Linked DNA regions of Saccharomyces cerevisiae S288C. The gene in region 3 interacts genetically with the main gene of each other region. Each region holds a gene or a part of one and is shown on either strand. Other genes may lie near its edges.

Region 1 (5,066 bases), on a different chromosome or scaffold from region 3:
TAATGATGGCCACACCATTCTAAAACAGATGGCCATTCTGCATCCGGTGGCCAGAATGCTAGTAGAGGTTTCTGCCGCGCAGGACTCGGAAGCCGGTGATGGTACCACTTCTGTGGTGATCTTGACCGGAGCTCTATTGGGTGCTGCTGAGAGGCTGTTAAACAAGGGCATCCATCCAACCATCATTGCGGACTCCTTTCAAAGTGCTGCGAAGAGATCTGTCGATATTCTTTTAGAAATGTGCCATAAGGTTTCGTTGAGCGATAGAGAACAGCTGGTTCGTGCTGCATCCACTTCTTTGAGTTCCAAGATTGTGTCTCAATACTCTTCGTTTTTGGCGCCCTTGGCAGTGGACTCCGTATTGAAGATATCTGATGAAAACTCTAAGAATGTTGACCTGAACGATATCAGACTGGTCAAAAAAGTTGGTGGTACCATTGATGACACAGAAATGATAGATGGTGTGGTCTTGACACAAACGGCAATCAAATCTGCTGGTGGTCCGACAAGAAAGGAAAAAGCAAAGATTGGGTTAATTCAATTCCAAATATCTCCTCCAAAGCCCGACACAGAAAATAATATCATCGTTAATGACTATAGACAAATGGATAAGATCCTTAAAGAAGAAAGAGCGTATTTGCTAAATATCTGTAAAAAAATTAAAAAGGCCAAGTGTAACGTGCTGTTGATTCAGAAATCCATCTTGAGAGATGCGGTAAATGATTTGGCTCTTCATTTCTTGTCAAAATTGAACATAATGGTGGTAAAGGATATCGAGAGAGAAGAAATCGAGTTTCTGTCGAAGGGCTTGGGTTGTAAGCCAATTGCTGATATAGAATTGTTCACCGAAGATAGATTGGGTTCCGCTGATTTAGTTGAGGAGATCGATAGCGATGGTTCCAAGATAGTTAGAGTAACTGGTATAAGAAACAATAATGCAAGACCAACCGTCTCTGTTGTTATTCGTGGTGCAAACAACATGATCATTGATGAAACAGAGCGTTCCCTCCATGATGCACTATGTGTTATTCGTTGTCTAGTGAAAGAGAGAGGTTTAATCGCTGGTGGTGGTGCTCCAGAAATTGAAATATCCCGTAGGTTGAGTAAGGAAGCAAGGTCTATGGAAGGTGTACAGGCTTTTATTTGGCAAGAATTTGCCTCTGCTTTGGAAGTTATTCCAACGACTTTGGCTGAAAACGCAGGTTTGAATAGTATCAAAGTTGTCACAGAATTGCGCTCTAAGCATGAAAATGGTGAATTGAATGACGGTATCTCTGTTAGACGATCTGGTACTACGAACACCTATGAAGAACACATCTTACAACCCGTACTTGTTAGTACAAGTGCAATTACCTTAGCGTCTGAATGTGTTAAATCCATCTTACGTATTGATGATATTGCATTCAGCCGTTAACATGGGTTTCCCAGTATCCATATGTTTATGCATATATACATATATATGTTGATTTAGTGTATTTTCCACTACATAAAAACTAAAAAACATTCAAAATGAAAAGTCAGGACCCTTTTCAAAAAGGATCGCAATTATACTATTTTAAAAGTTTAAAAGCGTTTCTCTTTAATGCGTAGGATACTCCGCTCATTATTGTGGTCGTGGCGGTTACATACCCTAAATAGCTAAAGGCCTTTTGAAAGTCCTGTTTTCTATCTTCGAAATCCTCCTCGGTTTTTTCACAGCCCTCTTCTTTCTCATATAAAAGTAATAATACTCCAGATCCAAGATATACCATTTGGAAAAACGTGTTCCATTTTGATAGTTGGGAAGGTCTGACCTCAGCGCTGGGATAGCGAACAATATCCCAATAGGAATTCCATGCCACACGACCAGGATATTTCAACTTTAAAGTGCTATATCGTATAAACAAAGCACTTATGGCTAGTAGCACATCTCTACCCAGAATTATCGCCGCAATAGATACCGGTATAATCTGAGGGCCGGATGGTACAGATAATGCCAAAGTTGTTGTGATCATGAGTAGTTTATCTGCAAGTGGATCTAATATGGTTCCTGCAATGGTTTTCAGGCCGTATTTTCTTGCTATATACCCATCCATAAAATCAGTGATGCTGGAAAATGCAAACAAACCTAATGCTGGGGTCAAATTATTCGTTATAATGAAGAGTCCGATAAAGGGTGTACATCCTATTCGTGATAAAGTCAAAATGTTGGGAATATTGAGCAACTTGCTCTTTATATGAGGAGTTTTACTCGGATTGGTAGCATATTCCCTCCTAGTGAGATCTCTGAAAAGATTGTAATTTAATTGCGGGTTTACCTTAAAGCGTACAGTTAACCCTGATAACACATGATAGAATGGCCTTTTCGGTATAGTTCTCCGAAGTAATGCGGAGCATGAATAAATGGGCACCATTTGAATCATTGACTAAATTATTAGGGACCAAACTATGCTACCAGGCCTGCTTGTTTCTCAATTGCCTCCTTTCTATATTTTTTCAATTGTAAATATTGTATACTCCCGATTAAGAGGATGGCTTCATGAATCGAGCTTTTTCACACTCCAGTTTCGGAAATAGTCGCCGCACAATGATTCGAAGACATGACTGTGAAGTGTTGGTTGACATTTAATATGGTTTCATGTAAGAGATCCCAGAGCTACGGACTTGGCTTTTTCTTCCTGTAATTGTTTGCCAAACGTTGGGTAAACGCACATATAAGTATATTTTACTTTCCTTCTCCCTTCGTCAGTTTTTCTTTTGCTGTAATATATTGTTCTCAAAAGTTGTTTGGTATACAAAAGTGCAAGGTTTTTACTGGTTGTTACAGGTTCAGAGTTCCAATAAAGAAGATATTAGAACGATCTTATCAATATTATCCAATTTCAACTAATATGAATGTATTAGTCTATAATGGCCCAGGGACTACGCCAGGATCAGTTAAGCATGCTGTTGAAAGTTTACGTGACTTTTTGGAACCCTATTACGCCGTCAGTACTGTCAATGTTAAGGTATTACAGACAGAACCATGGATGTCAAAGACCTCCGCTGTAGTTTTTCCTGGTGGTGCCGATCTTCCTTACGTTCAAGCTTGTCAACCCATTATTTCTCGATTGAAACATTTTGTTAGCAAACAAGGTGGTGTCTTTATCGGATTTTGTGCAGGAGGTTACTTTGGCACCAGCCGTGTAGAATTTGCTCAAGGTGACCCTACAATGGAAGTATCAGGAAGCAGGGATTTGCGATTCTTTCCGGGAACAAGCAGAGGACCTGCGTACAATGGATTTCAGTATAACAGCGAGGCCGGTGCACGTGCAGTTAAATTGAATCTTCCAGATGGCTCACAGTTCTCAACTTATTTCAATGGAGGAGCCGTTTTTGTTGATGCAGATAAATTTGATAATGTCGAGATCTTGGCCACGTACGCAGAACACCCGGATGTGCCTTCTTCTGACTCAGGAAAAGGTCAAAGTGAAAACCCAGCTGCTGTAGTGCTATGTACGGTCGGAAGAGGAAAGGTTTTACTCACTGGACCACACCCTGAATTCAACGTCCGTTTTATGAGGAAATCCACAGATAAGCATTTTCTTGAAACCGTTGTGGAAAACCTGAAAGCACAGGAAATCATGAGGTTGAAATTTATGAGAACGGTTCTTACCAAAACTGGGTTGAATTGTAATAATGACTTCAATTATGTAAGAGCTCCAAATTTGACACCACTGTTTATGGCTAGTGCACCTAATAAGCGGAATTACTTGCAAGAAATGGAAAACAACTTAGCTCATCATGGAATGCATGCAAATAATGTTGAACTCTGCTCAGAATTAAACGCCGAAACTGACTCTTTCCAATTTTATAGAGGCTATAGAGCCTCTTACGATGCAGCAAGTTCGTCCTTGCTTCATAAAGAGCCAGATGAGGTTCCTAAGACCGTAATATTTCCTGGCGTAGATGAAGATATTCCACCATTTCAATATACGCCCAATTTTGACATGAAAGAATACTTCAAGTATCTGAATGTTCAAAACACCATAGGTTCTTTACTTCTATATGGTGAAGTTGTTACATCAACGAGTACCATATTGAATAATAATAAATCCTTATTAAGTTCGATCCCTGAAAGCACTTTACTTCACGTGGGTACTATTCAGGTTTCTGGGCGTGGGAGAGGTGGTAACACTTGGATTAATCCTAAAGGTGTTTGCGCATCAACGGCCGTCGTAACAATGCCGCTTCAATCGCCTGTGACTAATCGAAATATATCAGTTGTTTTTGTCCAGTATCTTTCTATGCTTGCTTACTGTAAGGCGATACTTTCGTACGCTCCTGGATTTTCAGATATTCCTGTTAGGATCAAATGGCCCAATGACCTTTATGCTTTGAGCCCCACCTACTATAAGCGTAAAAACTTGAAATTGGTTAACACCGGTTTTGAGCATACAAAGTTGCCCTTAGGTGATATCGAGCCCGCTTATCTTAAGATCTCTGGTTTATTAGTTAATACCCACTTCATAAACAATAAATATTGTTTGCTACTTGGCTGTGGTATAAATTTGACTAGTGATGGTCCTACAACTTCATTACAAACTTGGATTGATATCCTGAATGAAGAACGCCAACAATTACACCTTGATTTATTGCCAGCAATAAAGGCAGAAAAGCTGCAGGCACTCTATATGAATAACCTTGAGGTCATATTAAAACAGTTTATTAACTACGGAGCTGCGGAAATATTGCCAAGTTATTATGAGTTGTGGTTACATAGTAACCAAATAGTAACATTACCAGATCACGGAAATACGCAAGCCATGATTACTGGTATCACGGAAGACTACGGTTTACTGATTGCAAAAGAATTGGTAAGCGGTAGTTCCACTCAATTTACAGGAAACGTTTATAATTTACAGCCGGACGGTAACACTTTTGATATCTTCAAGAGCTTAATTGCTAAAAAGGTTCAGAGTTAAGAGTCTACCACTTGAAGCTTAGAAGTTGGACGGACGTAATTTAAATGCATTTACTAGCGCCGTTGGTTTTCCCAATGCTCTGCGGATATAAATTAGTTACTTGATTCCCTATCCCTACCATAA
Region 2 (7,380 bases), on a different chromosome or scaffold from region 3:
TGATGCTGACACCTGCCTCATCGTGACGGCGGTTTGTACCCTTGATGCGACCGAATCCACCCGTGATGCCAACTTCAACAGTTGTAATCTTTCATTTTTCTTTCTTATAGCATTGGATGCATATATACGAGATATATCTTCATTTTCATTAAGAGCACGTTTGAGCTTATTAGTTTCCTGTTTTTCTTCCTTTGAGGCTTTATTGGCTTGCTTTTGTAATTGTTTTGATGTAAACTTTAGTTGGAAAAGAGTGTTTTCCAAACCTGCTGCAGAATTACGTGACATTTCTCAGTGCGATGTCTGACTTCCTATACTTTCAAAGTAGCTCACATCTCATCAAACTGCTTTCACATTGATTCGTTTTCATTCTTATCATTTCTTTAGGGGCAATTTTCCAGCACCAGATAAATGGCAGTGTGTTACCCGTTCGCGTAAAAATAAGTGTCACTAAATCATATTAAATTTTATATACTATATCCTGTTATATTTATACTGTCATGAACGCTACATCCTTTCTTAATGTTGTGGGTGAGATTGTACTGAAGCTCTGGAGTGTAGTTCCACTTCCAGTTGCTTGCATTTTTCGTTCAGTTGGAATATGTGCTTTTTGTATAGGTCTGTCACCAACTCCAATTCGCTTATCTTGGTCTTCAATTTGATTACCTCCTCCTCATTATGTAGCTTCCAAGTTAGTTCTATTTCTGGTACAGCGGAATCTGAAAAAGGTGAGGGTTCTAATAATGTTGACAAATTAGGCAGCCTTGTCAGCTCTATATTTGACGTGTATATATCTGAACCGTTGATCTGATAGAGGTAGTTTTTCCCACTAGGTTCGCAGGGGTCCAAAGAAAATTTTCCCCGCTGCGTGGAGCACTCCTTTGTGTTGGGAACGGTTTCCTTTGGTTTTAACAGTGGCTTAATGGACCCGCTCACCATAAACTTTTCCAGAATAGAAACCTTCGGATTATTCGTAGGTAATGAACCACCACCAGTTGTAAGCAGTCTCTTCTTTCTCTTGAATATTTTATTTGGGTCGTTAGAATGGGTATTGGCATTAGTGTTCACATTGTTGTTATTCAGCTTTTTCCTATTTCTTGACTTAATGGTGTCCGTCTTCAAGCTGATAGGCCTTGGTTCCCCGTGCAACTTCAGGAAGAGGCCACATGCATTACAGAGAACAGTACCGTGTTCATCTCTTCTCCATAGGGGCGTTTTGACAGTGAAACAATTCTGGCACGTGGGGTGGTCCTCTCCGTCACAATCATCCACTCCAGCAGCAGCTGAAAGTGTAGGCGAGGGCAGCTTCAACGAATCACTAAGCACCATTCTCTTATATATAATATGATATAATATAATGTAATATAGTATGACGGCAGATAAACAATATCCCGCTCAGTAATACAAAATTACTACTGTCTCAGAAAGAATAACCAAGAGAAAATCGAAAAAACAGTAACTGTATCCAAATTCAAGCTGACGCTGGATGTATATATATACTAAGCAACACTTGCTGATTACAGTCCAGGGATGCCGCCACAATGCAGCGAGATAAGCCCAGGATCGGTTTCTATCAAGCATTCTTTGCTGTTTGATTAGCACTAGTGATAAGTGATAAGGTGGAAACTCGTTATCAACGACAAACGGGTGAAGATTGCTACAGCCCTTTGGGTTGAACAAAAGACACAAACATAACGATGAATACGCCATGGGGAAAGATTTAGTGGGAAATTAGCAGGACATTATAGGCACGACCGGTCACTGATAATTCACACGACGCATTGAGAGGCACGTACGCAAGAAGAAAAGGTAGGATAGATAAACAAGGGTGATGTCTAACGTGTCAACAGCGTCTGGAACTCACTTCGCTCCACCTCAGGCAGATAGATCGGTGACTGAAGAAGTAGATAGAGTAAATTCGAGACCAGATGAGTTAGAAAACCAAGAAGTATTGCGGCAATTACCTGAGAATGGCAATCTGACTAGCAGTTTACAAAGAGAAAAACGAAGAACTCCCAACGGCAAGGAGGCGGAGAGGAAGCATGCATTGCCCAAATCCTTTGTAGATAGAAACCTGAGTGATGTGTCACCGAACCACTCATTAGACCATATTATGCACTCTAATGAACATGATCCTCGTCGAGGTTCTGATGAGGAAAATATGCACCGGCTCTACAACAATCTCCATAGCAGTAACAATAATGTTCATTCTAAGCGGAATTCTAAAAGAGAGGAAGAAAGAGCCCCTCAAAGGCGTTCTTCTTCTGTAGCTTACACCCAACAGCAGTTCAATGGCTGGAAGAAAGAGTTTGGCCACGCTTTTAAGAAAATCTCTGCTATTGGTAGACTGAAATCCAGCGTAAATTCTCCTACACCGGCTGGAAGCGGCCATCGTCATAACCAGCACCAGCATCAACAAGTAAACGAAGAAGATTTGTACACACAAAGACTAGCCTCTGATTTATTAGATTCGTTATTGGCAGGATGCCCGGCCTCATTGTTCGCAAGCACGCAATTTCTGAGAGACGAACATGGGAAGAGAAGGGCTCCTCTGCTATTAGCTAAACTAGATGTAAGAGTGTCTCCCTTGAAAAATGACAACAACATTTTGGATATTACCAATAGCAACCATAACCATCGTGGTAACAACAACAACAATACTGGCGAGAATTCTGATAGGAGACCCTCTATTCCAAGGAGCTCCAGCATTATAAGCATTTCTTCGAATGTGGCGGAATTTATGTATAGCAGGAACGAAAACTCTTTATTTAGAATACACTTGGAATATGGGATTGATGAAGACAGGCTCAAATGGTCTATTATAAGAAGTTATAAAGATATCAAATCACTACATCACAAATTGAAAATCGTCGCGTTCCAACAACTCACTATAAGCAAGCTTTATAGTGATAACAACAGATATCATTCGTTACAACTTCCGCATTTCCCCCATTATAAAGAAATGGTTAAAGAAAGAAATGTAATGGAGAAAAAAGCAGAAAATAAACCATCCTCTGCAGCCTCAGCTCCTCATACATCGGAAAATAACAATAACGATAATGGCAGCAACATTACATCGTTAGAAACTTTATCATCTTCTGAAATATCTGAGTTTAATATAGATAACGTCAAAATGAAACATTTACAAGACTTAATTGACGAACCTGACGATTTCTCCCAACCGATACATTTGAGGCTAGAAAGGTATTTGAGACTACTGAACATTGCATTATGTTTGAGACCTCATGCAAATAGATTGTTTGAATTTTACGAATTATCTCCCTTAGGCAATTTATTAAGTCGTGAAAGTGGGTTCCAGGGCAAACAGGGGTATTTAGTAATTAGATCTACTGCCAAGGCCCAAGGTTGGAGAGTTTCTCATTTTGGTAAACATGCGTTTAAAGACATGATCGACAGACATACTACCAAATGGTTCCTGGTAAGAAATTCTTACCTAACTTACGTGTCGGATCTTTCTTCGACAACTCCTTTAGACGTATTCTTAATAGATTGGAAATTTAAGGTTAGATTTTCTGGGAACAAGAATAACATACTTGATAACGAAAACGAGATCAACTGGATCATTCATGATCCCAATTTAGAAATAAATGACGAACTAGAAGAGTTCGGTATTGAAAATGATGCCAATAATATCCTAGACAAGAATGGAAAATCGAAAACACACCAAAAGAAGTCCAATATATCTTCAAAACTATTATTATTGACCCTAGAAAACAGTGAAAGGAAACTGAAAATTATTTGCAAATCAGAGAGTTCGTTAAAGCAATGGATGAGTTCAATTATCAAAATGTCTACCTCAACACCTTGGTCGAAACCAAATAGATTTGGTAGTTTCGCACCTGTAAGAACAAATTCGTTTTGCAAATTTTTGGTAGATGGGCGTGATTATTTTTGGTCGTTAAGCGAGGCCCTCTTAATGGCAAAGGATGTCATATATATCCATGATTGGTGGCTATCCCCTGAATTATACTTGCGACGTCCGGTGAAAGGCAACCAGGGATTTAGAATTGATCGTATGCTGAAAAGTTGTGCAGAAAAAGGTATCAAAATTTTTATTGTGATTTATAGGAATGTGGGGAATATTGTTGGGACAGATAGTCTTTGGACCAAGCATTCTATGCTAAATTTACATCCAAATATACATATCATAAGGTCTCCCAATCAATGGCTACAAAATACATATTTTTGGGCACACCACGAGAAGTTTGTCGTTATTGATGAAACATTTGCATTTATTGGTGGTACAGATTTATGTTATGGTAGATATGATACTTTTGAACACGTTCTACGAGATGATGCAGAATCTTTATTAGATCAAAATTTTCCTGGTAAGGATTATTCAAATGCCAGAATTGCTGATTTTCATGATTTAGATAAACCATTCGAATCAATGTATGATAGAAAAGTCATTCCGAGGATGCCATGGCATGATGTGCAAATGATGACTTTGGGTGAGCCAGCAAGAGACTTAGCCCGACATTTTGTTCAAAGATGGAATTACTTATTGAGAGCTAAGAGACCTAGTAGGTTAACTCCATTACTAACCCCGCCTTCAGATTTAACTGCTGAAGAATTGAAGAGTTTGCCGATGTTCGAAATTCTACGCGAAAAATCGACTTGTGAAACTCAAATACTTAGAAGTGCTGGGAACTGGTCTCTTGGGCTAAAGGAAACGGAATGCTCAATTCAAAATGCTTACCTGAAGTTAATTGAACAAAGTGAACACTTTATTTATATTGAGAATCAATTCTTCATTACATCAACTGTCTGGAACGGGACTTGCGTTTTGAATAAAATTGGTGATGCTCTCGTTGATAGGATAGTCAAAGCTAATCAGGAGAAAAAACCTTGGAAAGCCTTTATTCTTATCCCACTAATGCCAGGATTCGATTCTCCAGTAGATACTGCAGAAGCCTCAAGTCTTCGTTTAATTATGCAATTCCAATATCAATCAATTTCAAGAGGTGAACATTCTACATTTAGTAAACTGAAGAAACTAAATATTGACCCAGCTCAATATATTCAGTTCTTTTCACTAAGAAAATGGTCGACTTTTGCGCCTAATGAAAGATTAATCACCGAGCAGCTCTACGTTCATGCTAAAATTCTGATTGCTGATGACAGAAGATGTATTATAGGGTCTGCTAATATTAACGAAAGATCACAACTGGGTAATAGAGATAGTGAGGTGGCAATTCTTATTAGAGACACCGACTTGATAAAGACCAAAATGAATGGTGACGATTACTACGCGGGAAAATTTCCTTGGGAATTAAGGCAGCGATTAATGAGGGAACATTTAGGTTGTGATGTAGATCTTGTTGAGTTTGTTGAAAAGAAATTTGAAAGGTTTGAAAAGTTTGCTGCAAAGAATTATGAAAAACTTCATACCCTAAGTAAGGAGGGAGATAGTGGTAACAATTGGAGCGATCGAGAAATGATCGATTCCGCTATGATTGAGCTAGGTTATCGTGAAATATTTGGTTGTAAATTTAGCCCTCAATGGAAGAGTGGTCATGGAAACAGTGTTGATGATGGAAGCACTCAGTGTGGCATAAATGAAAAAGAAGTGGGAAGAGAAGATGAAAACGTTTATGAAAAATTCTTCAATTCTGTGGACTACGGTAAATCATCACGTAAGAGAACGCCTCTGCCCAAACATAATTTTGCATCTTTAGGGCTAACATTCAACCACAGGGCAGGAATTGAAAATGTCGGTATACGAGACCACAAAGTCTTAAGTACTGATCCAAGATTAAGAAAGAATGATGAACATAAAAAAGAGGTTGATGGCTACGGTCCCGATTGTTGGAAAAAGGAATCCAACAAAAAATTCAAGGCCGATGCAACTGAACAGCTAAAGGAGTGGGCATTGAACTCATTGGCCTCGAAAGTTCTTGACGATAAAGAAATGATAAAATCAGAAATTCCAGAAGGATTTTCAAATTATTTGCCCAATGAGAAAGATCTAGAAATGTATCTCACGGATAAAACTGTTACCAATAGAAACAAATGGAGTATGCTCAAAAGGATATGCTACTTGCAATATTTATCTCATAAACTCGACGAAAGAAAAACACAGAGATTGAAGAAAATCAAAGATATGAGAAGACATTTAAGTTCAAGCACAGAAAGTACCAGAAATGGGTCTAATAGTCTGCCATTAAACGAAAAGAGCAATGAAGGAGAAAGCACTAATGTCGACCAAGATATCGAAGGCGATGAATATCATAGATTGCACGAAGATATTTTGAAAAATCAAGAACTAGATGATGGTTCACTGGACGATCTACTTTCTCAGATAATTCCTAAGATCACTAACTTTAACAGTGGTGAAATTGATGACGCAAAAAAAGAAGAGTTATTGAAACTCAACTTCATTGACCCGTATTCCTTCGAGGATCCTCTTATTTCTTCGTTTTCTGAAGGGCTATGGTTCACTATAGCCTTGAGAAATACATTACTCTATAAATTAGTGTTTCATTGTCAACCCGATAATGCTGTACAAAATTGGAAAGAATATGGAGAATTTACTGAATTAGAACAAGAATTTCAAATAAACCAGGAAAAGTTGATTGACTTAGAGGCTGAAAATATTAATTCTACTACTACAAATGTTGTAGATAAGGATAGGGAAAAGGAAAAAATGAGAAAAGCCGCTGAATTGAGAATGAAGTTATCCGGTAGTTTGCTTTATGGATTCAATCAAAAGGTTTTTGACAAACATACGGCGCAGAGAATCTTGGAAAGGATCCACGGTCATTTGGTCATTTTCCCAACCGAATGGTTAGCTAAAGAAGTTGAGAGTAGAAATTGGATTTTTAACTCGGATAGACTTTCTCCAATGGAAATCTACAATTAAGGGAATATAAAAACGACCAGGAACACACCATTACCTGTATTTTCCTTTTATCTGTTATAAGCATTCGACGCTGATACATAAACAGTTTTCATTATGCATTCTTTTGGTCCATAGTGTCATTATTGCTCTTATTACTCATTGCATTTTTATACTTCAAATATATATAATAATAATATCATTATGTAATTTATGTGCTTTATCTTAAAGAACCAAATTTTTTCTATTTCCGTGTTCAATTGCTTAATAATTGTAAAAGCTTAATTTCTTGGATAAGTCGATGCCAAATAAACTGATTAAATAGATTATCGATAATCCTAATGTTGGTAAAAGTATAAAGTTCAAATTTTTCAAGAATGGCAACTGGTTGTATCCATAAAAGGTTAAAATAAAGTAATGGCCAATAGCAAAACAATATAACGAATTACCAATGAGTAAGGAAATCCAGTTTTGTAAATTAATTATGGGCAGTAGTAAAAACTGAATGAAGTATAGGCACAGTA
Region 3 (3,637 bases):
AAATACCACCTCTTCGCAACTGGTTGAAAGTTTGGGTATTCAAGATTTGACAATGGTGGAACTCGATACTCTTTTGAGTGCAGGAAATAATACAGCATTAACGGATTCAGAATCTTATAATTTAGGTTTGCTGTGTTCAGATAAAAACAGTGGAGATATTTTGGATTGCCAACTCGAATTGTGGTACAAAAGCTTTGGACCACATGATGAATAATGCAAAACTCAAGAATATTTATTTGGGTATCTAAGACTAGCTTTAAAAGGTTCCAAAACTGGGGTAAGGTGTAATCTTTGTGTATAACTTGGTTTATGAAAGGGGTACATGACATGGCTAAAATTCTTCAGACGAACATCTTTAATCTAAAGTTTACATCTAACAAGTCCAATCTGAAAAATGTACAGCGTATAATTTTACATACCTCCAAAAGAAGAATTAAATCAAAGTGTGCAGATAATACTATATACAGCAAAATAAATGCTAACTTTACATATGATTGCTTTCATTTTAAATCATTCTTTCCAATTATGCCTAATTTCTGTCCCATCTTAACCTTATCACCAACCCTAACATCGAACTTAAATTCAGTGGGAGCTTCAAAACAAAGTACAACAGTGCTACCCAATTCAAAGCCACCCATTTCTTCACCCTTAACCAAAGGCATCCCTCCCAATATTTTACTTGCATTCTCATATACTGCCTGGTAGCAGGTATGTGGTTCCAAGTGTTTGTCGCTCTTTGAATTTGTCACAAATTCTTGATCAAAATTCAACTTGATTGAACCAACATTTGTTGCACCAACAGGAGTCATGCTAAAAAATCCGTACTTCCAACTACCCAACAAAGCAACTCTTTCATTTAGAACGAAAAGATTAGGGAAGTTACGCTGGAAATAAGGTGCCACGGAGAATAAATCACCTGGGAAATGGCGGCGAACCTTACAAACCCAGTCAACTGGAGAGTGGAAATGATGGTAATCACCGGGAGCCAAATAAATGACGGCAAAGAAAAGTTCCGTATCATGAGGCTCAGAGCACGAAAACCCATTAGAGAAGTAGTTTAAAGAAAGTTGACTTAAAAGATGTATATTTTTGGACACACTTGGTTTGAACTCTCGAACAGATTGATCGCCCTCGTTTTTAAAGTTAAGAAGAGGCTGTTCAGTGTCTTCGGAACCCGCTAATTGTATTCTATTTACCCTGGCGAATTCTCTATGCTTTTCCTCATCAGAAGTCAAATCTAGACTAGATGCACTCTTAGACATCAAGGGGTGGGAGTGAGTGCCAAGGAATTCTTTGATGGAATATGTCATTCCCTTGACTTGTTCGATTTCGCCAGTTTCAGAGTTGATTATACCAACTTGTAAAATCTTTCCATCACTTGGAGAAGCTATAACGTCTTCGCCTTGTGCTACTGGACGTGTGCCTGGTTTTATGTTACGATAGAAAAATTCGGATAAATTTGCATAATGTGTCAAATCAGGATCTTCCATCTCGTCCAAGTTAACTCCAAAAAGGAAAGAATATAACCTGTAACCCCATGGTCTAACCCAAATGGGTAACGTAAGAGAATTTACTTGGCCCCATAATCGAGACATCGCATTCAGCGGTAAAGTAGAATAGCAGAAAAAGAGCCAATTATTGTTAAATATTTTGATTTTTCTTGTCCTTCTCCCTTTTTTGCCCTCTGTAGCATCCTCCTCTGTACTATCATTCCTTGACACTAGTAAAATGGTTCCTAGAACAATGGTGAAACTAGTTAAAACAACCCATTTCATGGAGACCTGTTTTCTTCCGCTATTTGCGGCAGCAGCTTTGGCACGATCCACAATCTCTCCAGAACTGCGTCGTTGCTGAACGAAAAGACGCGTGGAAAACTTTCTATTCCATAGCACCGCAGTTCTATTTCTTAATTGCATTCTTGTAGAAAACTTTACAGCAGGCATCCTCCCCATGAGGAGCGTCCTCCCTTGCGCCAAGGCGTTCTTAACTGGCATAATTGACATGCTGGCTTTGCTTTTCCTTCTTCTTCAAAAAATAACGACCAAGAAGGATTTGAGCGATCTGCTAACAACTGGCTGAAGAGTCCTTAAAGCGCTACGTACCTCTAGGCGTCTCTTTTGTGAGTAAGCTGTTTTATATTATAGGTGAAGAACAAATTTTCCACATGCTTGTGCCTGCTTTAGATGTCCCTTGACCTCGAGATTTGAAAAAACACCAAAAAGGTGCTGGTTACCCTGCATGTGATATGTGATTACATAGCGTAGCGTATACAGAAGCACAATTGGTCGTATATGTGCCAAGCTTGTAGGAAATTAGTAACGCATAACGTGTTATCTGCGACAAGCGTGAATGCGACAGACATTATGTTTCTCTAAATTCATATGGTCCCGGCCGATTTTCACATTCGAAGTTCATGTCGACAATATTGTCATTATTCTGCAATAGCTCACAGTGAACACGGTCACCAGGCTTTAACTCGCCTACACCTGCAGGTGTACCAGTCAAAATGATATCACCCGGTTCCAGAGATATCATGGTAGATATGTGTTGCAGTATTTTATGGAGTGGGTGCAACATGAGGTTAGTACCACCATCTTGTCTCAACTGTCCGTTAACAGAGCACTTGACTCTGAAAATATCCTGTAAGTTTGATTTGTAGGATGAGAACTTCTCGCGGGAGACTATAGCAGAGATTGGCATGAAGGTGTCAAAACCCTTGCTTATAGTCCAAGGTAGCCCCTTCTTTTTGGCTTCATCTTGGACATTTCTTGCTGTAAGATCCAATGCTAGAGCTACACCACTAATAGAGTCATAGACTTCTTCGGGTTTCATCTTAGTGACATTGGACAAATGTTTGCTCACAATCAATGCCAACTCAATTTCGTGATGAACCTTCACACCGCGTGGGATAAAAATGGGCCCGGGGTTAGTTCCGTCTTCATTTAAACCATTGAAAGTCGAGTTTGCAGGTCTAGTGGTCTTGACCAATGATGAAGACAATGGTGTCACAATACTCGAGGTTGGTTTTAGGAAAAAAAACGGTTGTTTTGGAGTTGAATTGTTCAGCTCTTTGATATGCGCTGCGTAATTACGCCCAATGCATATAATTTTTCTAGCTGCCTTCAAATAATTGTAGCTCATAACGTTTTGGCAATTTCCTGAGTCTTTACTCGATAGCTTTCAGAATATTTCTATATAGGAAGTTCTGGCTGAAACGTTTTTCCTTATCAGTTAGAGAACGGTGACCATCTCTTGAAAGCGAACAAAAAAACGTGAGGCTAAGGAAGCTATTTAGGAAAATAGACGAAAAAGGAATGGCAAAAGAAGGAATGGCCCTTTCAAAATAGGTATAAGCAGCACAGCTTGATACATGCTAGGGTTGCAGCAGTATAACTGTACTCTCTTTATGAGCGTAGTGAAAAGACGGTGAAATTATAACGGTATGCTCTATGAAGAATAAATGCTGTAGGAAAATTTACGATAATAAAGCCTTTATTGTTGTTGATCAACAAAAGGAGGCTTAAGCAATTGATAAACTTCTGAAAAGAAGAACCCTATTAAAGTTTATATCAAATATAGAAAAAAAAATCTTGAAGTTACATAAATACAGAAAAAAGCGGGAGAATAAAAGGGATTT
Region 4 (7,921 bases), on a different chromosome or scaffold from region 3:
CCGACATCAGTTTGAGAACTTTCTTCATTCTCGTCTTCTTCTTTTTCAGTAGTGTCCTCGTTTTCATCTTCTTTCTTGCCCTTGGCCTTAGCTTCGGCACGCTCAACTGCTTTTTCCTCTGATTTATCTTCTTTCACAGGGAACCAGTGTAAGGAATAATGTAAAATACCTTTTGATTTTGTACCGGATCTTAATTCAGCAGTTTGATTATCCAAAACAGGGTTTTGTAGTAAATCTGCCAAGTCAAGTTGAAGATCACCAATTACGGTATCTTTTCTTACATCATTGAAGTCAAAGCACTTTAAGTTTAACTTTTGCTCTAAGGTGTTTAATAATAGATATTTGGTTTCGTTCCAACGTGGATTTTTAACATTTGATTTGATAGATGTACGCACTTCTTCATCTGTACCAGGCACAGCATCTTCGGTAGTCATAACAATATAAGGATCGACAGTATTGGTAATGAAATCTGAGCCTTTCAAAGAGTCGGCAGAAGCAATGGTTACGGCAAGGACACCAATAGCTTCTTTTGATTGAGCAGCCATAATGTCTTCAACATTAATATCCAAATGGTTCGGAGGGAATAGCATAGGCCCTATATTGGAGTTGATAATGTTTTTAACAAAACTCTTCAAACCAGGCAAGAATGACATAACATCAAGACCTAAAGTATCACCACCAATTGGTTTCAGTGCGAAATCAATCAAAGGTGGTTCTAAAAGTTGTAAAGAAACAATTTTGATATTTGGGAAAGCTTTACCAAATTCAACTTTAATACGCATTTTACCAGCAACGTTAATGTCTTCAACCAAAATAGGCATTGTTTTAGAGACAAAACTTTTTCCTAACGTGACACCCAGAGATATTTTTGGATTGATCTTCTCCCTAGCTTCAGTAGCTGTCATATCCGAGACATCGCTTGGGGTGAATGCAAATGACCAATCCATTTCAACAGTGTTTTTACCAGTCTTGGTGTACGATTTAATACCTTTTATGGTGGGAGCTTTAGAGCCCAGAGTGAATTCATCGATAGCTAACGCATCGATACCGTAACCTGGAGCAACACCTGCCAGTTGAGGGTTAACGTTATCTTTGACTTGTTGAGATAAAACTGGCATGTAAATCACCCAAAATTTTGATAAAAATGAATTCAACCACGTAGTGGATTCAACGCGATCCGACAAGGTTTCTTCGACTGTAACTCTTTTCAAGTCATCTCTGATATTTCTGTTGAATCTTGTATATTCTGCGTTGTAAACGGTCGCAGTTCCCAAGAAGATAAATATCATAGACCACCATGAAAACCCAATGTAAGCAAATAACCATGAGAAGAAACAAGTTCCAAGAACGGTGGCTATATTACAGTACCAATCGTTATAAAAATTTTCCAGAATGTAAGCTTTTATAACCCTGGACATCTTTGTATTTGGCGAACCCTTTCCTGAAGCATGGAACTCACCAACATTTTGCCATGGAAATAACTTGTCGTCGGAATCTAGGTGAAATTTTTCCTTAATATCCTTTTCATCAAGTTTGCCTAAGTCGTCTAAGACGCCAGGCTTAGTAATCGAAGTGTCGAATTTATTTGGCTTCCTAGATGGTGCTGATCTGAATTCCTTCGGACGTAAACCTTCCAATGGCACGGCTCCTATGCTTCCCTGTGGGTTGGGACCGGGCAATTGATTGGTTTTTTGAGCGCTGGAGGCAACAAATATGTCTTTTGATGACTGTTTCTTACCTTCCGGGTTGGAGTCAGCAGTTTTCTGACCTTTAGACACATCAGAAACTGAATTTGAGGTCTTTGTGTCATTTGCGTCATGGTTAATCAGTTGGTGGTATTGATGGTGACCCGATGGAGCGTGATCAGAACCCCTTTCTTGTTGATTTATGACCTTTTGAGGTAAATTGCCTCCTACTTTCTTCTTCTCCTCCTCATGAAATAGGGTACTATCAGGTGGGGGATGGACTTGAGCTTTGATGCCAGTCATTTTTCTTGACTTTCAATGCGTAGCTCTACTTATTTTCTTTCTAGCAATATTGCGTATGTCAATAAACAAAGCTAGCTAATGATGCTCTTTATATTGTTAAGAAGAAAACTGATTAAATTAAGTAACGCTAAAAAGCAAAGTTGTCTATCAAAGTGAAATGTATCGCAATTGGAAAAGGTAAGTGCAATTCTAAAGGATGTAAGGTACAATTATCCCTTTTTCCCTTTCTGACTGCAGCAGTGTGTTGTAAAGGTATACATACATTCTCGTATTGTTGTTTCTCCCCCTTCTCGCGCTGGCGAAGAAGTGAAAAAAAAAAATAAAAAAATGGAAATTTCGGACGATCGTCATTTTGAAAATACATAGTGAGCCAATATTATACTAGGAGTATATATATTTAGAGGCCAGTTCTGCTCTCTTGTCAATTGCCCGGGCGAGCTGCTCGGTCGTAAACAAGCTAGTGTCATTGATTTTTTTTAGGAAGAGGTGGTGGTAGTTTCGATTCAGGTCGCAAAGACGGAATGAACAGTACACCAACTGCAGGCAAACGGAGTCACTCAGCTTGATGCTATTTAACCCACGAGTGAGGTCTTTTAATACGTATGTTATGCACTTATCAACGAATTGCAACATGACTGCATTTGTAGGTATTTTGTTTTCCCTTTTTGAAGTCCGAATCTTTTTGCTTGGCTCCTCTGGGGTCACTTCAACCTTATTAATTTCTTCTTCTTCTTTTTCTGCCTTGTTATCTATGCTTTTGCTTGGCTCTTCTGGGGTCACCTCAACCTTATTAATTTCTTCTTCCTCTTTTTCTGCCTTGTTATCTTTGGTATTTACTTCTTCCTCTTTTTCTTTTTCAGCCTTGTCTTCTGTTTTGTTTACTGTTTCATTTTCTATCTCATTTTCTGTTTTCCTTTCTGCTCCATCATCTTCGCCTTCCACTTTGCCTTGTACTTCCTCTTGTACATCTTCTATCGATTTATTTTCTGTCACATCTTCTTCATTGTTCGCTACGCTATCTTGTTTTTGATATTCTTCCTTCTTTGTTTCTTTCTCCTTTTCTTCAATTTCTTTCTCTTCGTTAGTCCCATTTATCCTTAGCACAGTACTTTCTAGTTCCTCTGGGAAAGGAATCTCTAAGTCATTTGTATCATACAAGAAGCTTTTCAGAAAGACATTCAAGGACATGTAGACATGTTCCCTGAGGACTTCAATTTTCCTCTTAACCATCATTTCAATTAAAGATTCATTAGAAGACTCAACGTCCAAAGGATATGATGCTATTTCATCGGTAATGAATTTGTATCTCATGGCTAAAAACACACTTAATAATGATTTATTAGTCTTTCCATCAAATGGTGGAATTGAATTCAAGTACTGTAGTATTTTCTTTAGTGAGTTTACTGATACATTAGTAGACAGTAATTTTACCAGCCCGGATAACATGGTAGTACTAATTTCGTTTAAAACTTTTTCGCAAACTTCATCCACAATGGTTGAACCAGGGAATCTTGACCTCAGGGAAGTAGTGTGTGTGTATAGCATGACGGCCTCCTGGTAATGACCTGTTCTGATACATGTGCGGGCCAAAAATGGTAGTTCCATCAAATCCGTAATGCTATCCAAATTTTCTAGTACAGTGACTAATGTGTCAGATCTAATGTCGTCCTTGTCATCTTCTTTAGTTGAAATTCTGTTTCTTAACCTACTTAATGCCTTGTGAAACTCATCCTCCTTCTTCTTTCTTGCCAGATTGTTACTCTCAGTCGTCATGATGCGACCTGTGTCGTTGTCTTCTTTATCGTCTTCCAAAAAGTCATCAATAGAAACGCTTTCATTGTTTATATCGTCATTTGTAACGTTTCGATCGGCTGCCTTATTAATATTAGTATCCAATTCCCATAATTGCTCCAAAGACTTGGCTATATCATCCAATTGAGCCCTATCATCGTTTTCAAGAATATTTCCGATAATCTGAGACGTATTATCTAGTAGTGTTTTCCTTATCTTTCTATCAAGGGCAGATAATTCAGCATCAATTTCTGCTATGTCTTCAGTTATGCTACCAGGAACAGCCCTAGATGAAAAATAACTTTCATAGTCTTTCGTGTTAGATTGTAGGATATCCTGTAGGAAATCAAGACTTAACCGTTTTTGTTCCTCTGTTAAATCATCAGAAATGAGGCTGTTTAGTATCAGCTCCATTTTACTCAATGATTATGTTTATTGTTGAAATATGTTCCCTCAAATGTCCTAACACTTCTATGATTATTTTTTCTGTGCTTCTCTTTTCAGTATGTTACTACGCTATATTTTTAGACATTGAAGCCATGATCGCGAGATCGATCTAATGTACGTATAAAAAGAAAATGGACTTCAAGAGTACAACTAACTAAAGGAAAATCCAACTCTTCCTATAAATTTAGAATTAGCATATTCAAAAAAGAAGAAACAAAGCACTCACGATGGGGGTCGAACCCATAATCTTCTGATTAGAAGTCAGACGCGTTGCCATTACGCCACGCGAGCTAAATTTCTTGAATTGTTGGGTAAACAAATATTACTAATACAAATGTTATTAGAAACCAAAAATGCACTTTTCCGGGGTTAATATATATGATTGAGTGATGGATGAAGAATGAGATAATTGTTTAAATTCTATAGTTGTCAAGCGCTGTGATACCAGATACACAAAATGTACTAGAGGTTCTCCTCGAGAATATGAAAATCCACAATAGAGAACCGATATTTCTGTGTAGGAATATTATTATTTCTTCTTTCATTTTGTATGTTCTCGTTCATTTTCCTAGCACATTATCAACCCTTTCATTTCAATTTCCATTAAAATTGGTGACTGTTTCTCAATATTTATTTGACCGTCTTATACCCAATATGGTAATATACCAGTAATATAAATACTAGTCGTTAGATGATAGTTGCTTCTTATTCCGAAAATGAGTATGGAAGTGTTGCATATGATAGGGCGGCTACAGTGATGGTAAACATAAGATACTTTAGCGGGAAATTAGCAACTGGAAGTTAAATTATCTAGACATAAGTGTGGCGGTCACGCTGAACGCAGGAGATCGGATAGATTGATAAGCTGATCAAGAACATTGATCGGTTTGTTGTTTAAAGAATGGTTTTTGAAAACGTTTGACCAGTTGCTTCTCCCAGACGCTTACCGATATGATGATAAAGATAATATCTTCAATTGAATACCCCGTGGATCAGCACGAATAACAGAAAAAAAGGGTGAAATTCACCGTAAGCATGATACGCACTACGTTCTTCTTACCTTTGCCAACGTGTTGTCTTTGACGTACGTAATTATGGGAGATCGTTGATGATTAGCCCCAGCTCACTTTCTTCTTAATGACTGACCCGCTACTATCAAAATTAAGGTGTCAAATATCATGATGAATGAGGTCTCTAGGCGACTCAATTATACATCTTTTAGAGATTTTTTTACTACTTGCAGATAATTTCTCAAGGGATTAGATTCAAATCTGGCTTGTCAATTACGCCCTTTTCAAGCTCATCAAATTGCGTATGTCATTCATGCTTCCATTAGGAACCATAGAAGCATGGCTGAAATGGCAATATACGGCTTCCCAATTTCAACTCTAAAGTAATGGCGGTCGAATTTAATCTATATTTTACAGTTTTATACGTACTTTAAAAGCAATCAGTAAACACCTCTGGTGCTATTCAAGGGTTTTTTGCCTTTATTTGTTACTGTCAATTGTCTGGCGCTGTGATAAAAAACAAGGCATAAAGCTCCCCCGTCATGAACATTAAGACTCGCTAGACGAGAGAGTGAAATATAATGCATTTCCTGATTTAAATGCGCTACAAACATGGTGTAAATCTGGCCCGGAGTGAGTGCTTGCCAATTTGGCTTCTAAGGGAGAAAGATCAAACCACTCCCAATTGCGTCATTTTGAAAGAGTGGCCACCTCGCGAGCGTCTGTCGAACTAACTGATGAATAAATATATAAGGAGAAAATCACTTCAACTTCGCTACAAGTAGTCACTATTTGTAGCAACTGTAAACGAACACATCAAAGAATAAGATTACATTCTATATCTAAGACTAAATTTTAAATGTCCGCTAAATCGTTTGAAGTCACAGATCCAGTCAATTCAAGTCTCAAAGGGTTTGCCCTTGCTAACCCCTCCATTACGCTGGTCCCTGAAGAAAAAATTCTCTTCAGAAAGACCGATTCCGACAAGATCGCATTAATTTCTGGTGGTGGTAGTGGACATGAACCTACACACGCCGGTTTCATTGGTAAGGGTATGTTGAGTGGCGCCGTGGTTGGCGAAATTTTTGCATCCCCTTCAACAAAACAGATTTTAAATGCAATCCGTTTAGTCAATGAAAATGCGTCTGGCGTTTTATTGATTGTGAAGAACTACACAGGTGATGTTTTGCATTTTGGTCTGTCCGCTGAGAGAGCAAGAGCCTTGGGTATTAACTGCCGCGTTGCTGTCATAGGTGATGATGTTGCAGTTGGCAGAGAAAAGGGTGGTATGGTTGGTAGAAGAGCATTGGCAGGTACCGTTTTGGTTCATAAGATTGTAGGTGCCTTCGCAGAAGAATATTCTAGTAAGTATGGCTTAGACGGTACAGCTAAAGTGGCTAAAATTATCAACGACAATTTGGTGACCATTGGATCTTCTTTAGACCATTGTAAAGTTCCTGGCAGGAAATTCGAAAGTGAATTAAACGAAAAACAAATGGAATTGGGTATGGGTATTCATAACGAACCTGGTGTGAAAGTTTTAGACCCTATTCCTTCTACCGAAGACTTGATCTCCAAGTATATGCTACCAAAACTATTGGATCCAAACGATAAGGATAGAGCTTTTGTAAAGTTTGATGAAGATGATGAAGTTGTCTTGTTAGTTAACAATCTCGGCGGTGTTTCTAATTTTGTTATTAGTTCTATCACTTCCAAAACTACGGATTTCTTAAAGGAAAATTACAACATAACCCCGGTTCAAACAATTGCTGGCACATTGATGACCTCCTTCAATGGTAATGGGTTCAGTATCACATTACTAAACGCCACTAAGGCTACAAAGGCTTTGCAATCTGATTTTGAGGAGATCAAATCAGTACTAGACTTGTTGAACGCATTTACGAACGCACCGGGCTGGCCAATTGCAGATTTTGAAAAGACTTCTGCCCCATCTGTTAACGATGACTTGTTACATAATGAAGTAACAGCAAAGGCCGTCGGTACCTATGACTTTGACAAGTTTGCTGAGTGGATGAAGAGTGGTGCTGAACAAGTTATCAAGAGCGAACCGCACATTACGGAACTAGACAATCAAGTTGGTGATGGTGATTGTGGTTACACTTTAGTGGCAGGAGTTAAAGGCATCACCGAAAACCTTGACAAGCTGTCGAAGGACTCATTATCTCAGGCGGTTGCCCAAATTTCAGATTTCATTGAAGGCTCAATGGGAGGTACTTCTGGTGGTTTATATTCTATTCTTTTGTCGGGTTTTTCACACGGATTAATTCAGGTTTGTAAATCAAAGGATGAACCCGTCACTAAGGAAATTGTGGCTAAGTCACTCGGAATTGCATTGGATACTTTATACAAATATACAAAGGCAAGGAAGGGATCATCCACCATGATTGATGCTTTAGAACCATTCGTTAAAGAATTTACTGCATCTAAGGATTTCAATAAGGCGGTAAAAGCTGCAGAGGAAGGTGCTAAATCCACTGCTACATTCGAGGCCAAATTTGGCAGAGCTTCGTATGTCGGCGATTCATCTCAAGTAGAAGATCCTGGTGCAGTAGGCCTATGTGAGTTTTTGAAGGGGGTTCAAAGCGCCTTGTAAGTACTTGGCTCACGAATACATATCAAGATACTTATGATATATATATATAGAAAAAGCTTACTTTTCTTGGA

The links.
Region 1: mutations in PSD1 (region 3) and CRD1 together harm fitness more than expected from each alone (negative genetic interaction), as found in Saccharomyces cerevisiae (9 studies listed by BioGRID, with this or other methods).
Region 2: mutations in PSD1 (region 3) and SPO14 together harm fitness more than expected from each alone (negative genetic interaction), as found in Saccharomyces cerevisiae (5 studies listed by BioGRID).
Region 4: mutations in PSD1 (region 3) and COG8 together harm fitness more than expected from each alone (negative genetic interaction), as found in Saccharomyces cerevisiae (5 studies listed by BioGRID).

Annotation. Positions count from the first base shown.
Region 1 is NC_001136.10:200,169-205,234, forward strand, and holds CRD1 (cardiolipin synthase), read right to left. Parts: upstream 2,403-5,066; coding exon 1,551-2,402; downstream 1-1,550. Other genes in the region: chaperonin-containing T-complex subunit CCT4, read left to right, coding at 1-1,414; biotin--[acetyl-CoA-carboxylase] ligase BPL1, read left to right, coding at 2,871-4,943. UniProt on the Saccharomyces cerevisiae protein: Catalyzes the synthesis of cardiolipin (CL) (diphosphatidylglycerol) by specifically transferring a phosphatidyl group from CDP-diacylglycerol to phosphatidylglycerol (PG).
Region 2 is NC_001143.9:500,844-508,223, reverse strand, and holds SPO14 (phospholipase D), read left to right. Parts: upstream 1-1,828; coding exon 1,829-6,880; downstream 6,881-7,380. Other genes in the region: DID2 (Did2p), read right to left, coding at 1-285; DAL80 (Dal80p), read right to left, coding at 517-1,326; YKR032W (uncharacterized protein), read right to left, coding at 1,393-1,707; GMH1 (Gmh1p), read right to left, coding at 7,121-7,380. UniProt on the Saccharomyces cerevisiae protein: Required for meiosis and spore formation. Seems to be involved in the coordinate induction of late meiotic events. PLD activity is induced under sporulation conditions and seems to be necessary to complete the meiotic cycle, but not for vegetative cell growth.
Region 3 is NC_001146.8:315,669-319,305, forward strand, and holds PSD1 (phosphatidylserine decarboxylase 1), read right to left. Parts: upstream 2,004-3,637; coding exon 501-2,003; downstream 1-500. Other genes in the region: APC1 (anaphase promoting complex subunit 1), read left to right, coding at 1-214; FMP41 (Fmp41p), read right to left, coding at 2,362-3,141. UniProt on the Saccharomyces cerevisiae protein: Catalyzes the formation of phosphatidylethanolamine (PtdEtn) from phosphatidylserine (PtdSer). Plays a central role in phospholipid metabolism and in the interorganelle trafficking of phosphatidylserine.
Region 4 is NC_001145.3:127,380-135,300, forward strand, and holds COG8 (Golgi transport complex subunit COG8), read right to left. Parts: upstream 4,194-7,921; coding exon 2,370-4,193; downstream 1-2,369. Other genes in the region: TCB3 (Tcb3p), read right to left, coding at 1-1,988; DAK1 (dihydroxyacetone kinase), read left to right, coding at 6,096-7,850. UniProt on the Saccharomyces cerevisiae protein: Acts as a component of the peripheral membrane COG complex that is involved in intra-Golgi protein trafficking.